4 linked regions of the Arabidopsis thaliana genome follow. The protein of the gene in region 3 binds, or shares a complex with, the protein of the main gene of each other region. Each region holds a gene or a part of one and is shown on either strand. Other genes may lie near its edges.

What was found.
Region 1: PnsL2 (region 3) and Pnsl5 share a complex: the UniProt entries of both Arabidopsis thaliana proteins name them as parts of the chloroplast NDH complex.
Region 2: PnsL2 (region 3) and PnsB4 share a complex: the UniProt entries of both Arabidopsis thaliana proteins name them as parts of the chloroplast NDH complex.
Region 4: PnsL2 (region 3) and NdhM share a complex: the UniProt entries of both Arabidopsis thaliana proteins name them as parts of the chloroplast NDH complex.

Annotation. Positions count from the first base shown.
Region 1 is NC_003076.8:4,161,809-4,166,849, forward strand, and holds Pnsl5 (cyclophilin 20-2), read right to left. Parts: upstream 3,116-5,041; 5' UTR 2,913-3,115; coding exon 2,889-2,912; intron 2,796-2,888; coding exon 2,583-2,795; intron 2,439-2,582; coding exon 2,196-2,438; intron 1,613-2,195; coding exon 1,558-1,612; intron 1,364-1,557; coding exon 1,278-1,363; intron 1,065-1,277; coding exon 906-1,064; 3' UTR 566-905; downstream 1-565. Other genes in the region: AT5G13130 (Histidine kinase-, DNA gyrase B-, and HSP90-like ATPase family protein), read left to right, coding at 4,947-5,041. UniProt on the Arabidopsis thaliana protein: NDH shuttles electrons from NAD(P)H:plastoquinone, via FMN and iron-sulfur (Fe-S) centers, to quinones in the photosynthetic chain and possibly in a chloroplast respiratory chain.
Region 2 is NC_003070.9:6,458,690-6,462,869, forward strand, and holds PnsB4 (NDH dependent flow 6), read left to right. Parts: upstream 1-1,713; 5' UTR 1,714-1,935; coding exon 1,936-2,001; intron 2,002-2,077; coding exon 2,078-2,119; intron 2,120-2,154; exon of another isoform or gene 2,155-2,206; coding exon 2,207-2,384; intron 2,385-2,484; coding exon 2,485-2,540; intron 2,541-2,628; coding exon 2,629-2,700; coding exon of another isoform or gene 2,701-2,775; exon of another isoform or gene 2,776-3,154; coding exon of another isoform or gene 3,155-3,160; exon of another isoform or gene 3,161-3,304; coding exon 3,305-3,418; 3' UTR 3,419-3,655; downstream 3,656-4,180. Other genes in the region: AT1G18720 (ER membrane protein, putative (DUF962)), read right to left, coding at 607-969. UniProt on the Arabidopsis thaliana protein: NDH shuttles electrons from NAD(P)H:plastoquinone, via FMN and iron-sulfur (Fe-S) centers, to quinones in the photosynthetic chain and possibly in a chloroplast respiratory chain.
Region 3 is NC_003070.9:4,837,970-4,841,386, reverse strand, and holds PnsL2 (PsbQ-like 2), read right to left. Parts: upstream 1,587-3,417; 5' UTR 1,503-1,586; coding exon 1,029-1,502; coding exon of another isoform or gene 1,014-1,028; exon of another isoform or gene 854-1,013; coding exon 755-853; 3' UTR 590-754; downstream 1-589. Other genes in the region: AT1G14160 (Uncharacterized protein family (UPF0497)), read left to right, coding at 1-16, 96-219, 374-589; UCP3 (Mitochondrial substrate carrier family protein), read left to right, coding at 1,785-2,171, 2,726-3,256. UniProt on the Arabidopsis thaliana protein: NDH shuttles electrons from NAD(P)H:plastoquinone, via FMN and iron-sulfur (Fe-S) centers, to quinones in the photosynthetic chain and possibly in a chloroplast respiratory chain.
Region 4 is NC_003075.7:17,830,007-17,833,249, forward strand, and holds NdhM (subunit NDH-M of NAD(P)H:plastoquinone dehydrogenase complex), read right to left. Parts: upstream 1,614-3,243; 5' UTR 1,480-1,613; coding exon 1,027-1,479; intron 943-1,026; coding exon 742-942; 3' UTR 527-741; downstream 1-526. Other genes in the region: AT4G37920 (endoribonuclease E-like protein), read right to left, coding at 128-311; SHM1 (serine transhydroxymethyltransferase 1), read right to left, coding at 1,885-2,033, 2,117-2,227, 2,309-2,420, 2,501-2,578, 2,661-2,726, 2,808-2,912, 3,000-3,197. UniProt on the Arabidopsis thaliana protein: NDH shuttles electrons from NAD(P)H:plastoquinone, via FMN and iron-sulfur (Fe-S) centers, to quinones in the photosynthetic chain and possibly in a chloroplast respiratory chain.

The sequences.
Region 1 (5,041 bases), on a different chromosome or scaffold from region 3:
GTCTTCTTTTTATGGTGTGCTCTTCTAGTATTCAGAGATATCTTGTATCTAGAAAAGGTTGACCAAAAAGAAAGAACACTAAAATACAAACATGTGATAGGTACAAGTAATTATATTGTTCATTAATCTGAAAGCAGACTTTATATACAAATTGATCGGATACATGTTCAACAAGTCCGCTGTAGCACACATGCCAATTTCACAACAGAATTTGAAATCCGGGCTCAAACCTCGGCAGCGTAATACTTTTTGGTTCAATTAGTTAGTTTTCAATAAGATATCAGACTTTAAATACAAATCACTCATATACAAAACCAAAAAGTCCGCTGTAGCACACAGGCCAATTTCACTACTCAATATGAAATCCGGGATCAAACCCCGGCAGCGGAATACTTATTATTTTAATTAGTATTGTTTTCAATAAGATATCAGACTTTAAAAACAAATCCCTCGTATATAAATCAAACAAGTCCGCTGTAGCACACAGGCCAATTTCACTACTCAAAATGAAATCCGGGATCAAATCCGGGCAGCGGAATATTTTTTGTTTCAATTGTTGTTCTTACTTTTTTATGAAGAGATCGGACTTTAAATACAAATTGCTCGTATACCAAACCAACAAATCCGCTGTATTACACAGACCAATTTCACAACTGCATCGACTACTCTTGAATCTTCAGATTTTGTATCTTAGTAATGCAACTGAACCGCTATAACACAATGGTTAATTTCGAAACAAACCAATGAAATGAAATATGAGTTCAACACCCGGCAGCGGAATACTATTTCTTTCTTAAATTTTTGGAAGAAGGGGATACAAATCCATTACACAAAAGAAAGGGTTGTAAAATGCAAAAACAAGCTCCATCTCATGTCTACAAGATTTTGGTTAAATGATCTTACTTTTAAGCTTCAGACATTGGAAGTTGACCACAGTCTGCTATCACCACTTTCTTTCTGGGACGGTCTCCTCTGTCTGTCTCTTGTTCCTCTATCAGCTTCACCACTTCCATTCCTTCTATTACTTGCCCGAACACCACATGTCTTCCGTCCAACCATGACGTCTGTCCACATCGTTATCGCATATTAATTTGATATACACTAAATTTCCCAACAAAGCTTGGATGGTTCTTCGTTTCCAATTTCAAAACTCTACTCTTTAGGTTATATTATTGGATTCTATATACTGTAATACCTGTGTTCTTTATTGTTGATGCTCGCTTGCCTACGTATAACTTCTAATTTAACAATAGGCCTTAACCAGAGGGAGATTTTACCTTAATAGTGCAGATAAAGAACTGACTTCCATTTGTATTAGGGCCAGCATTTGCCATACTTAGAACTCCTGGTCCGACATGGGATACTGCAGCGTATAGCACATTATTACTTTCATGAATTTTATAAAACTGAAGGTTTGGTATATATTATACTCAGCTCAGCTAAAAAGAGAATGCAGAAATGTTTAGTTAAAATGCATTACCACTGATAAATATGAATGCTAAAGCACAGCTGGGGAGAATGAAGAAGAAGGAAACAAGTGAAAAAGGATAGACTTACACTTGAAATTCTCATCCTTGAATGTACGGCCATATACACTTTTACCTCCAGTTCCCTGCTCAACAATTAGACTTCTGTATCATTATTATGGAATTCTCCTAGCAGTTACTAGAAGAATCTTCGGTAACTGAGATGGGCAGAAACAGAAAATAACAATATATTTCTACCGAGCTACAGCTAGTTGCATACCCACGAACCAGTATATAAGTTCCCTACAGCCCAGGTATTATCTATATAGAAAAGAACAAAAGTCTAAGATTAACAGGGGTTGTTCTTCTAAAGCCACTGATCTACAAATCAGAGAGCCAGCTATCAGAAAGATTGTCTGTAGAAAGCTCTCCAAAGGTCAGGCTTTTTCCTATTAATGTACCCAAACATGTGCTTTCAAGAGCGACTCTAAATCCGTACAAGTAAGAACTTAAGCATCCTTCCTTATCGAGAAAGATTTGACTTATACTATGTACCACATCCAAGAAATTAATAAACATCCTGCCATCCTGATATGAGACAGCTTACTTTACTTTGTGATTTGGCAGAAAATAAGATGAACCAAAGTAAATCAAAAGAAACATAATATGGACCGCAAGTCAGCTAACAAGAAACTGGTGCTGCCAAGGAATTCAGCCAGAAAAACTCACATTGCCCTTCTCAAAGTCTCCTCCCTGAATCATGAAATCTCTGATGACACGATGGAATGTAGAACCCTTGTAGCCAAATCCCTTTTCACCTGTGCATAGAGCACGAAAGTTCTCCACAGTTTGGGGAACATCATCACCATACAATCCAATAACAATCCTCCCAGCTAACTTCCCCACTGGATTGCCAACACTTATATCGAAATACACCTTGTGTGTTATTTTCGATTGCGGTTCAGTAACCACCTGGAATACAAAATCCACATCATATTATGATTCCATAGCTTTTAGTAAATCTAATGGAAAAAAAAAACTAAGAGTAAGCTGAATAAAACAACCAATTCCATCAAATGACATCAGTGACTAACAAGATATGAGAGAATCCCTAACCTCAGCATTGGATTGAACAGAGAAACAGCGGTGGTTTCTTTTGGTATAAGACGTGTGAAGGAGGAGCGATGAGGCGGAGAAGGGAGTTGAAGACGAGAACGAGATTGAATCGAAGGAAGATTTGGTGCGCAATCGGAAAGAGGTAGATGTGAAAGCGGAGGTATTGATCGGAGAAAGTCTTCGTGGAGGAGCTGAGAGCGACTTCGGATTTGACTATGATGATAACCGAAAATTAGAGCAGGAGAAGCAGAAGAAGCGGAAAGGTAAAACAAAATCAAAAGTACAAAAGGGAAAAATTAAACGCACCAGAGTCATCGACAAGGTCGCCATTGGAGCTCAAAACTCTTGCTCGCGTTTGTTGGCAAAAATGGTAGGTGAAGGTGAAGGTGACGATGAGCGAGTGATAGCACGAAAGAGTCTGAGAAATACATTCCATGGTTATTTACAGTTATGCCCCTGCCGGTTACGTGGCTTCGCATCGAGTCAATTTTGAGTGGGTCAGGTCAGCCGATCCTATGAAGCATATTTACCTGTGCAAAGTGCAAACAAAGAAAAACTCATCGTATCAAAATGACACTAATCTCATAAACTAAAATACAAACCTACTATAAGAAAATAGTGTGTTCACTATTTCTGATATTTATTTAATATAAGAAAATAAAACCATAAATACAAATCAAAAATATTTTTTCAAAACAAAATATGCATCGCGCGGAAATTAACCGAGTCATATAAAAAAATTATAAATTAATACAGTTATAAGATTATATGTTGTCATTCATTACGGAAATAGAAGGTAGAGTTGATCTTGGGCTCAAGCAAGTAAAAGGCATCAACAATATTTATATAGTAGTAAACGACATCAATTTTTTTGTACCATGTATAATTTAACGGTTAAACGAAATATAGTTCAGTGTTAATTCCGTATAACATGAATTGGTAACATGCTCAATTCTCAAGACTGATTATTTGCAATTTTTTTAAAAAAATTGGGCTTTAAGCTTTTTAAAAAAAATCTAACTTCATGTTTTAATCCATATTATTGATACAAATTTTCTCTTAAAATTAGTATTTATATGGTAAAATTTTGAAAACATATTGGAAATTTCTTAGAAGTTACAAAAGTTTAGTGACAATATGACGAAATTTTTCGATGAACAGTTCTAAAAAACAACAAAATTGTGTAAATCTAAAGAATATTTATTTCAAAAAGGGAGAAAAAGAGGGAATGTCATTTGTTACTAAACAAAATGTAATAAAGTTATAGTAGAGAGGCTTTAGAGCAAGTTAAAACTAATTAAACCTTGTATCTGAGACCAACTCCAACGGCAGCCTCTAAGGGGCTTTTGAGGGTTGGTCCCTTGAATTATATAGCCCAAAATAAATTAGAAATCAGTTTAATTGAGAGGGTTGTTTCTCTCTTACGGTATTTTTCAAACAACAAAGGGACCCTACATGGCAAACTTCTATTGGTGGAGAGGGAAGAGAAGGAAAAATATGACCCAATTTTTTTCTTTTCATTTCGGTTGAATTGTTTTCATTTCGTTATTTCCATTTACGATGGCGATGTCAATGTTGATGAAAGATGATATGTGTCGAGCTCCTCATCATAGGGCGTAATAATCAAATCAAAGACTAAATTGAAAAAAATCGTTTGGTGCATCTAAATTCATACTACCAGAATCAACCATCTCTTCACAAGTTATTTTAACTACTCTACAGATATGTCTTCAAATCTCGGTAATTTTATGGTCTCTCGTGCTCGAGTTCGTGATCGGGCTATGCATCAACAATTGAAAGGTGATTTGGTTGAGCATATATAACACAAATTTGGTGGGAATCAAACTAACTACTAATTGTTATTCCGATTCTCAATATTCATTTCTTGTAGGTTTAAAATTTTAGTATTTGTATTAATTATTAAATTTTATAAAATAGAATATTTATAATTTTCATTTTAATAATATTTTTTACTATAAGAAACTCACTAAAAATTTCTACCATTAAACCAAGAAAAATTAAGAGACCAACAAAATCTCTTAAATTCAAATCTCAAATTTTAAAATTAAAAAAATTGGAAAAAACCTATTAAAAGTTTAACCATTAGGGTTGCTCTAATAACACAGATGGGCCTGTGAGTTACGAAATTGGGGCCGGGAAGCTGGACGGTTTTATTTGTAAGTCGCGCCACTCACTTTTCTATAAAGACGCTCCCACTACTTGAAGAGTCTGTGTGTCGTGCGTGTCTCACGTCTCTCTCTCCTCTCTCCCACTTCAAGCTGCTTCAAAACCCTAGAAGCTTCTACTGCAACCACGGATTCTTCTCAAATCAAGTCCAATAAACCACTGTTAGTGATCGGAGACATGGCCGAATCTGGCAGTACTAACCCTAAATCCCCATCCGTTGTTCCCGATTCGACTCTCGGTGGACTGAAGAGAGATTTAAGAAACTATCACGA
Region 2 (4,180 bases), 1.6 Mb from region 3:
AAAAAGCTCCTAAGTTACAGATGTCTCAAATACTATGGAAGAAAAACCAAACTTTAGTTAAACAAGTGATGTAGATTCTAATTATCTGAGACCATCCAAATGTTGGTGGTCAAGAACAACACTTGTTTCCGTCCAAGCACACATCAAATCCTCTTAACCAATGAGTCAACAACACTAAAAACATGACAAGTCTCCGGACCAAAGAATCAGAACCGTGCAAAGGTGGACAATTGCAGAACAAACTGCAATAACTACTAATCATGAATGTTCAAAGCTAGAGACATGATATTAGTACTGCTGTCTCAACGTTAACAGCTAATGAAGGGACCCATAGACAACAGATAGAGAGGACTAATGATATAAATAAATCTATTTCTTCTTCCCCGAGCATAACCAATGATATAAACGAACTTTCAAGTCAAAGCATAGAAAACAATGAACAATAAATGCATGAACCACACTCACATCATATAAATATACACATAGAGCAACACATGGATACACATAGTCATATACCCTCATAAACATGCTTCTACGCAATTATTTTCTCCAAAAATGAAGTTTTTTCAAAAACCCTAAATTGAAATTAGAGAAAAAAAATCTAACCTTTAAGGCAAGAGAAGATCCTAGTCGAACAGCAAGAAAACTGGAACCAACCCAGCAAGAGAAACACATAAGAGCAGCTACAAATCCAGATTTCTTATCCAAACCGATATAGAACAGAGCATAAATCAAGGCGAATATAAACCCAACGTTAAATCGCAAAACGCCGTCGAGGGTCAACGATTGAGAAAACCCTAATTGAGAGGGGTCGAAAATTGGGGTCGACGAGTGGAGGAGAAGTAAAACTGAGAAGAAGATTGGCCAAACGAAGATGATGTGGATTAGAATGTTGATCGGATTGCTATGGTAAGCACCGTAGAAGGCGAAGTGTTTCTCGAGATCGAACAATCCCATTATGCGACTCATGGATAAAAAATTCGTTGAGGAAGAGGTGTTTTTATGAGGAGAAGATCGGTGGAAATTGGATAATAGTCACCAAACAGAGGAGATTAAAGATATACACGGGAAGAAGACGAAAGTGGAAAGTTTGATTAGCAATTTCCCGAAAATGATGCTAACGTGCGCTTTTTAATAGCTAACATGCGCTTTTTAAAGCGATAGAAGTTGACTTGGCCGGAGATTTTCTTCCGACTTTTGACAAAATACTAGTCGCTAAGAAGAGTAGACGTGTTATTGTGATTGCTAACATGCGCGAATAAAAGCTGGTTTAGATGGATATACATCATTGAAAGTTTGGCAAATAGAACATACACTATTCAACGAATGATGTATTTGGGATGATTGCTAACATGCGCGCATAGGAAGTTGAATTAGATGGAAATATCATTAAAAGTTTGGCAATAGTTGCCAACGTACGCTATTCAACAAATGATGTATTTGGGAAGAGACATAAGCGGAAAGTTTGAATTTCACCAACCAAAGATTTATTAGCAATTTTAGTGTGGTTACTAACTTGCACGTCTAGAGGAGTGAACGTGTTTAGTGATTGCTAACCTGCGCGAATGGAAAGTTTGTTGGACGGGTAAAATACGAAAGTTTGTAGTTGAATTTTGCTGGAAATATCTTTACCACTCTTTAAGGCAAATAGTTGTTCCCAACCTGAGCGTTTTAGAAGGCTAAAATGTGTACTGTGATTGTCTAAATTGGGCTTTTAAAAGACAAAAAAAGTGTTATGCGATGTGATTGCTAACGTACGTTATTTTTTTATTTTGTTTATCACAAAAGTGAAGAGTGGACGATACCAATTCCCTTATCCACACATTTTCTGCCTCAAAAAATCTAATCTTAAAGATTAAAATAAATGAAAAAATAAAAAAGATTACACCAACATTTTTTTTTTTTCTTCTCCATTGCCACCATCAAGAAGTAACAATGGCTGAAGCTTTCACAAGTTTCACCTTCACAAATCTTCATATTCCTTCTTCCTACAATCACTCGGTACATATTATTTTATATTCTTACCAAAAATATTTCATTACGAAAAAAAGTTTAAGAATTGTGTATTGTGTTGTAGCCGAAGCAGAATTCAGGACCGAATCATGGATATTGGCTATCTGTAAGTAATTTTCTCTAACTAAGACTAAAATTAGAAAAAAAATCTCCATATTCTTGTGAATTTACGTCTTAGAATTTGAAAAATTAGAAGAATGTTAATGAGAAGAGGGAAAGGAATTTGATGAGAGGAAGCTTATGTGTAAGAAAGGCATTGCCACATGATTTGCCATTAATGGCTGTGATGGTTCAACAAATAGAAGGAATGCGTGATATCATTACAGAGAAACACGTGTGGCATCTAAGTGATAAAGCTATCAAGAATGTTTGTAAGTTAAACACTTGGGGTTTCTTGAGAGATTTTATTTTCTTTCTTAGACTTTTTTTTCTTCTTTTTCTTATGTTTTGATATTGATCTTGATATGGCAGATATGTTCTACATCATGTTCACTTGTTGGGGATGTTTGTACTTCGGTTCAGCAAAAGTATGAAAACAACAACTCAAACTGAATCTTTTGATACATTTGCTGCATTGGGATCTTAATAGTACTTTGTGATATTGGATCAATACAGGATCCATTCTACGACTCAGAGGAGTACCGTGGAGATGGAGGGGATGGAACTGGATATTGGGTCTATGAAACTGTATGTATCTCTCCCTTTCTAATACTATTAGGAAAGAAAGAAAAAAACTTAGAAATGCATACAAATTATAACTAGGGATGTTGCAATGGACCGACCAACCCGCTGTGGTCTTACTAGACCCTGTGGACCAGTTCAGATCTAGTTTGACCTCAGACTATCCCACCTTGGTCTTAGTAGGCCATGTAGACCTGTTCAGAGCCGGTTTTGAGTACTCCTCCATGTGTCTCAGCATGCGATAAACCTCCCTAAACAAAGAAAAATAGGTGGCTTTTAGGTTAGCGTTTACCGTTGGTATATATGCACCCAAAAATATGAATCCACAACCTTGATCATCTAAACGAAAGTCACAATCTGATAGATGGTAGGTAACATTGATCCATCCTATTGATAGATCAATCATGCTTAGTAAGTTTGAGCCGGGTTGGGCTTGATATAATAATTCAAACGTTAACAGATCTGATGGTAGGTAACATTGATCCTAAGTTGGGTCGGGCTGGGCTTGCTCGGGCCATTGACCTTTGGTATATCATCACAGATTCACAATGTGTACAACTATTATAAGATTGGATAGAGTTGTTATTGTGTTTTGGGTTATATGATGCAGCAAGAAGACATAGAAGAGAAAGCAAGAGCGGAGCTATGGCGTGAAGAACTTATCGAAGAAATTGAACAGAAGGTTGGTGGCTTAAGAGAGCTTGAAGAAGCTGTTACTAAGTAGAAAACTAACTTGTGAATCATAAACCACTTTACATACACATTATATATTTTCTTATATCAGTCATGCAACATTATATATACTCTCTAGCTTCCATATATATAATATATGTTATGTACTTCTTTGTTGTCTTGTGTTCTGAATCATTGAACGATCATGTTAGGAGCAATTGTCTCCTTCAGAAATTTATTGTTGACGACATCCGATGTCTTAAAAATATAAATAATTATGTTTGGTAAACTATCTTAATTTGCTTTTCTTGATTTCTTCGGTCGCAAGTTGGTCAGAGTGAATATTTATTATTTTTAAGTATAAAAAATTTAGTCAATTGGGGCTAAATTAATTGGTCGTATAGACTGGAAAGTGAGTCTGATGAGGAACAATTAGCGGGAAATACGCTTCTGCACGATTCTACCTGACAAAAACCAAAACTAATCAATCTTTAAAAACAAAAAATAAGTTAGCAGAGGTGAAGAAGGAGAGCTTGTCATGTCTTTGTCAGTAACCTTCGTGCTTCCATGTTTCAAAGCCTCTTCGAGCTTGTAATTGTAAACCACACGTGTGGTTTATTGTTTTTGTTTTCTTTTCAAATTTAAGTTTAATTTTCAGATATTTCTTTTTTTTGTGTGTGTGTTAGGAACACATGACAGGAGATATGATGTAACATTTTTATTTAAACAAAAAAAAGATCTGCATCACTGCATGTAGTGTATTTTGTCGTGTGTCAATTAATTCTTATAGTTGTACAATTTTAATTCTGGCCCA
Region 3 (3,417 bases):
ACTTACCAACGCTCATGTAAAATATTCAGTGATCAGTATATCGATGAATCATGAATTTGATTGTGTATATATAATAATACTGCTCTGTTTTATAGGTTTTTCGTGGTTGCAAACGCCATTTCTGGTGGATATTTGGTTCTTTCTCTACCTGTGAGTATCTTTCATATCTTCAGTACTCAAGCTAAAACCTCGAGAATCATCTTGCTCGTTGTCGACACGGTAAATATCTCCCTCTTTAAGAGAACAAAACAGGGCACCAAATATCCAACTAACTTGTGACCCAAGAAAGCTAACATTTTAATGAAAACCCATATATAAATTTAAATTTGATCACTCAAAAGTGTTATGATTTATGGTTTCTATATATAATCAGGTGATGCTGGCTTTGGTTAGCTCTGGAGCATCTGCAGCAACAGCCACCGTGTATTTAGCTCACGAGGGGAACACAACTGCTAATTGGCCACCGATCTGCCAGCAATTTGACGGATTCTGTGAACGCATCTCGGGATCTCTCATCGGTTCTTTCTGCGCAGTGATCTTACTCATGCTTATTGTTATCAATTCCGCTATCTCCCTCTCTCGCCACTAAGATATCTATGCACATATATATATCGATCTGATTTTGCAGAGAAATCACGCAAACGAAATGTTTCTTGAATATACATTATTAAGTCTTTTAATTTTATATCTAATGTAACGAGTCCAGAGATTTCATGTGAAGAATGAAGAAAGACATATATACAATACAACTGAATTAAGCAAGAAACTCCACAACATTGTCTATCGATTTCAATGTCTTCTCGTAGTAAAGATAGGACTCGTACACCTTTGGCGTCCGTACATAGAAATCCAACTGTTATATCAAAATTATGAAAGATATCAATATTAACATGTGGTTAAAGTTTGACTTCCATATGATCATGTGTTACAAAACGCAACATTCAGTGTTATTAACAATCAAACCTTAAATTAGCATTAAAAATTACTAATTCTGTTTTTAATTTGTTCATTAATTATATAACGTATACCTCACTCATGTTTTCGACAAGCTCGTTTGCCGCCTGAACGTAATCATTCCGGCGACTCTCCGGCAAGATGTTCATGGCGTTGGTGAGATCCTGAGACAGATAAGCCTGTTTCAATCTTATGTAGAATATAACGTACCTCCACGACATGTGGTCCAACATCTCCCTCATGTCTCTTAATCCTTCAGCCGTCTGTTTTATACGCGCCGCCGCATCCTCAGGTGATAGTCCCGGCATAAAATATTTCTCCTTTATGAATGACCTTGTCCCCCATTTCTCCTGTGCTAATGCTGATGACGTAGCACCGCCGATGACCGTGAATGTTATTAGTGAAGTCAAGGTTCTCCGGCGGGTGAAGATGTCTTGTTGGGGTTCTCCGGTGCAACATACGACGGAGAACGGTTGGTTTACACGGCGATGATAAATTTTCCGGAGGAGATACGGTGGCGGAGTGTTGGTGGTGGTGAAGGAGCTCATTTGATTTTTGTTTTTGTTTTTCTTAAGGATATGAAATGGGAGGAGCTCAAAACTATAATGTCTACTCGGTCTTTCATGTTTTGCCACGTCGGCTGTTATCTCTAAAGTTTTGTATTTTAGAATTTGTGAACATGGGCCCATAAGACTTTAAAGCCCAATATTATGGAAACGACGTCGTCAAATACACTCTGATGACCGAAACGATGTCGTTGACTACGAAATAGAATCAAGTTGTGTTCTCTGTGATGGACATTGTGTTAGTGGTAATCAAATCCGGTGAAAATGGAGCGGAGCCGAGTGACCAGAGAAGCACCGACCGGAACCAGGATCCTGCTTGCTTCACTCTCTGCGATGGTTGCAGAGTCAGTTACGTTTCCGATTGATCTCACAAAGACTAGAATGCAGCTCCATGGTTCGGGATCCGCTTCTGGTGCGCATCGGATTGGCGCTTTCGGAGTCGTATCGGAGATTGCGAGAAAGGAAGGAGTGATTGGTCTCTACAAAGGTCTATCTCCGGCGATTATCAGACACCTGTTCTACACGCCTATCAGAATCATTGGATACGAGAATTTGAAAGGACTCATCGTCAGATCTGAAACTAACAATAGCGAGTCTCTTCCTCTCGCCACAAAGGCTCTCGTCGGAGGATTTTCTGGTGTTATAGCTCAGGTAACGGTGTTTCTTCACCGGTAAATCTTTAGAGTCATGTTTTGACTGTAAATTGGATCTGGATTAACAGTTGCTTAGAGTAGAATTAACATTTCGAATTGAACAATCGATCTCTATGTATAGTTTCCTTTGAATATGTTTCGTAGAAGAAGGTATTAATTAGAAGGAGATTTTGTTTCAAGTTTTATAGGCTTTCAATGTTCGTTTCATTCCAAAGTTAGCTGCTACTTTAGGTTGGTTCAGAGATAAGAACCAATGCAGATCCTAGTCATAGACGTCTCAATGTATTTCACAGATCCTTAATCCAAAATTTGTGCTTGCTTGTTGTCTCCTATGTGTTACAATTAAGTTCTCTCAGATCACTGATTACCTATGGAAACTCGTAGATTTCCGGCGAAGTTAATTATTAAGGATTTTCAATTGTTTTTACGCTACTGAAGTGAGAAATGTAGCTATCTTTTAGGTTGTTGATATCTTTAGAATTGACATTTGAGTGTTGTTTATACCTACACCACACTAAAATGCTTCTTATTGTGTCCATACTAGAAATGCAGGTAGTGGCTAGTCCAGCTGATTTGGTCAAAGTGAGAATGCAAGCAGATGGTAGATTGGTGAGCCAAGGCCTGAAACCGAGGTACTCGGGACCAATCGAGGCTTTTACCAAAATCCTACAATCAGAAGGAGTAAAAGGGTTATGGAAAGGTGTTCTTCCAAACATCCAGAGAGCATTTCTAGTGAATATGGGAGAACTAGCTTGCTATGATCACGCCAAACACTTTGTCATCGATAAGAAGATTGCTGAGGATAACATTTTTGCGCACACTCTTGCTTCTATAATGTCGGGTCTTGCTTCGACAAGTTTGAGTTGTCCAGCTGATGTGGTGAAGACGAGGATGATGAACCAGGGTGAAAATGCTGTGTACAGAAATTCTTACGACTGTTTGGTGAAGACGGTTAAGTTTGAAGGAATAAGAGCTTTGTGGAAAGGTTTCTTCCCGACATGGGCAAGGCTTGGACCGTGGCAGTTCGTGTTTTGGGTCTCCTATGAGAAGTTTAGACTGCTGGCAGGAATCTCTTCCTTCTAGACCTGAGAAACTGGAAAAGCAAATTTGAGATTTGTGTTCTTTAGTTCTTACTTGTTAGTTGTTACACATTTTGTAAGAACCTTGAGAAGTAGCATCAGTTTCTGATTAACGCGAGAAGAGTTATATAAATTTGGGCCCAAAAGTGTAGGCCCATAGATTTA
Region 4 (3,243 bases), on a different chromosome or scaffold from region 3:
GAATCCTAGTCTATGAAAAGGGTTTAGCTTATCTAATGGTGACAATTAATACAAATTGGAATCTAAAGAAATAGAATTTATTGGTAATTAGACAGAAAGATTAGAGATTTAGGGTTTATGAGCTTACTTGTAGTGCCATTGTAAGTGACAGTGTCGGTAGCAAAGGTGATAGTTGAGCTTTTGCGTATCTTTCTTCCTCCATTGATGAAAGCAGAGAAAGGGAGATGATGGGTTTGAGAATTCTTAGGCGGGAAAGACAGTAATTTATCAGCAGAGGAGAAAAAGATTGATGTTTCCAGTAAATTCGCCATTTTTTCTCCCTCACAAAGTTCGTCTTGGTGACGAACAACGAGAAACACCAGAGGATAAGAAGAACAGGGTTTTAATTGTAAATAATTAGTAAACGTTGACAAATTCAAAAACTTAATATAACTTTTTGGGTAAAAATGTTAAAACTAACAAGTTTTGCATCAGTTTGAAATCTTTTTAAAAAGAGGCAAGGAGTAAGGAACATGAATGAGCAAGACCAGAATTGAGTTTCTTTGACATTACATATTCACATGACCTTAAGACCTTACATTAACAAGAAAAGACAAAGAAACTTAAGATTGATTATTACAAAAATAATTATAGCATATGTCATGATATATACATATGTTACTTTGTGATAGACAAAATTAAAAAGCATACTACAATATATTTATATTCCCATTACATGATTATAAAATAGAGTTTGTTTCACTAAGCGTCCTCTTGAGGCTGACCATCTCCACCACCTTCAATGTTACTGGTATTGAATTGTACACGAGGCTTTCCCATACTGAAATTAAGAACTCTTGCATCCATATTGTATTGTATTTCTCCATCGAACAACATCTTCCTTATGTAATGTTCTACGTCCGATCCTATCAATCTCAATGTGTACTCCGTTAATGGTGCTCCCTGTTCAAAAACAATATTATAAGGTCTTCTTGAAATGAGTCTAACTTTTAGATGAATGTTTCGTTCGTTTATTGTTATCGTTACCTCGTAGTGATCGACGAGTTCTTGGAAATAAGAATAGACCTTGTTACAGCTTTCATCATCCCACACAAATTCTTCAGTAGGATCAAGAATCAAAGTGAGTTTATCCATTTGTGACTGGTCAAACTCACAAGTCTCTGGATCAATATAAGCAGCGTAGATCCTAACGTGACGTGTGACACTGCTTAGCCACTGACCACCAAAATCGCCCATACCCTTGCTCTTCACGTTCAGCTGTTTCTCCACTGGTCTCAATGGTGTTGGCTGCTTCTTCATCTTCTCTGTTGATTGCTCTTCTTTGAGTGTCTCTGTTTCTTGTACTTCAAGAGTACTGTCTTGTTCCGGATTTGTCACCACGAACGCCTTTTGTGTTGTTCTTGGTCGGATTTGAGCAACCATAGAAGGATGTAATAGAGAAAGCTTGGTGCAGGCAGTGTAAGAGAATGCTGCAACCATTTTTCTGTCTAAGAAATGAAAAAAAAAAAACAGAACAAGTTTTGAGATGTTGTCCGGTTACAGAACCATATTCTTGTAAAGAGATTTGATGAGGTTGAGAAATGACCACAGCTTGTGGATGAGCCTCTCCCAACTTCTAGTTTCTTATTTATCCCTTTCTCGTTTTGTTGGTATTTTGTGGTTACTCTTAAGTCACTTGTGAGCTAAAGACAATCTTCTTTAGGGAATTCACTGTTTTGTTGTATGTGTTTTTTTTGTCTAAGTATATTTCTTTTTGATGTATAGAGAGAAAATTTAACAGATCATTATTTTTCGCATAGCGTGAAAATAGAGTTTTACATGTATCATCTATACATTCCATGGGAATTCAAAGCATAACAGAAAACACTTGTGGGGTGAAACAGTTTAGTTCTTGTACTTCATGGTTTCTTTCTCAAACCCAATTGTTGGGAACTGCTTAGCGAATTCCTCGACTTCATGGCGCAGTTTCGCAATCTCGGATTGGATGGTTGAAGAGGATTCCATTGCTGACACGAAATCCTTCAACTTGGTTCCTGGTTTTAGAAACATAACAAATGAGTTCAATCATTGTATATAAGAACGGAAAGCATAGCATCGTGATCAGAGAAGTAAAAACCTTGAGCTTCAGATTTGACTTTGAGAGCTATTGTCACAGCTTTGTCGAAGTATTCAGCTACTTTGGCAAAGTCTTCCTCAACAAAGCCTCTGGAAGTGAGAGCAGGAGTACCTGAAAATAACAATGGCAGAGGATATCAAGAAGAACTCCATTCGAATACCAAAAAGAAAAATGGTTAAATGTGATTTTTACCCATTCTGATTCCACCAGGAACCATGGCAGAAACATCTCCAGGAACAGTGTTTTTGTTGGATGCAATGTGAACAGCTTCCAACACTTTCTCAACTCTAGATCCATCAATTCCCTGCAAACAAAATCGAATAAAAAATGAGTTTTAACTAAGAAATATAAAAGAAGATTATATACAAAAAAAGATCAAGTGACCTTGGGCTTTAGATTCACTAGAACCAGATGGTTGTCAGTTCCACCAGAAACAAGTTCATATCCTCTCTCCATTAGAGTCTGCACGAAACAACAATGTAGAGATATAATCAAAGTAGATACTACGCCATATGTGTTTTTCTTTCCTTCACGGGATTAGTACCTGAGCAAACTTTGCACTGTTACTCAGGACTTGTTCTTGGTATGCTTTGTACTCTGAAGTAGTTGCCTGCATTTTCAAACCATTTGAAGGTTACAGAAACCGCAAATCCAATAAGCAACGTTAGTTCCATTCCGTGCCTCACCGTACCTGTTTCAAAGCAACAGCTAGTCCTGTGATAGTGTGGTTGTGTGGACCACCTTGAAGACCAGGGAAGACAGCTTGGTTGATCTTGTCTTCAAAATCATACAAAACCTTTCAAGACAACAAATGAATGACGTGAAAGATTATACATAAATCTAAAACATTTTGGTTCAAATTTTGCTTCTTTTTCTTTTTTACCTCTTTCCCTTGCTTGTTAATTTCCTTAACACCCTTTCTGAAGAAAATCATGGCTCCACGGGGTCCACGAAGTGACTTGTGAGTTGTGGTGGTTACAACATCAGCATAGTCGAACGGTGAAGGGATTACATTAGCAGCAACCAAACCACTGATGTGTGCCATATCTGCTAGCATTACAGCTTTTTGCTTGTTACAGACCTGGGAAAAGAGTTCGAATCAAAACTCACTACTGATTACAATAATC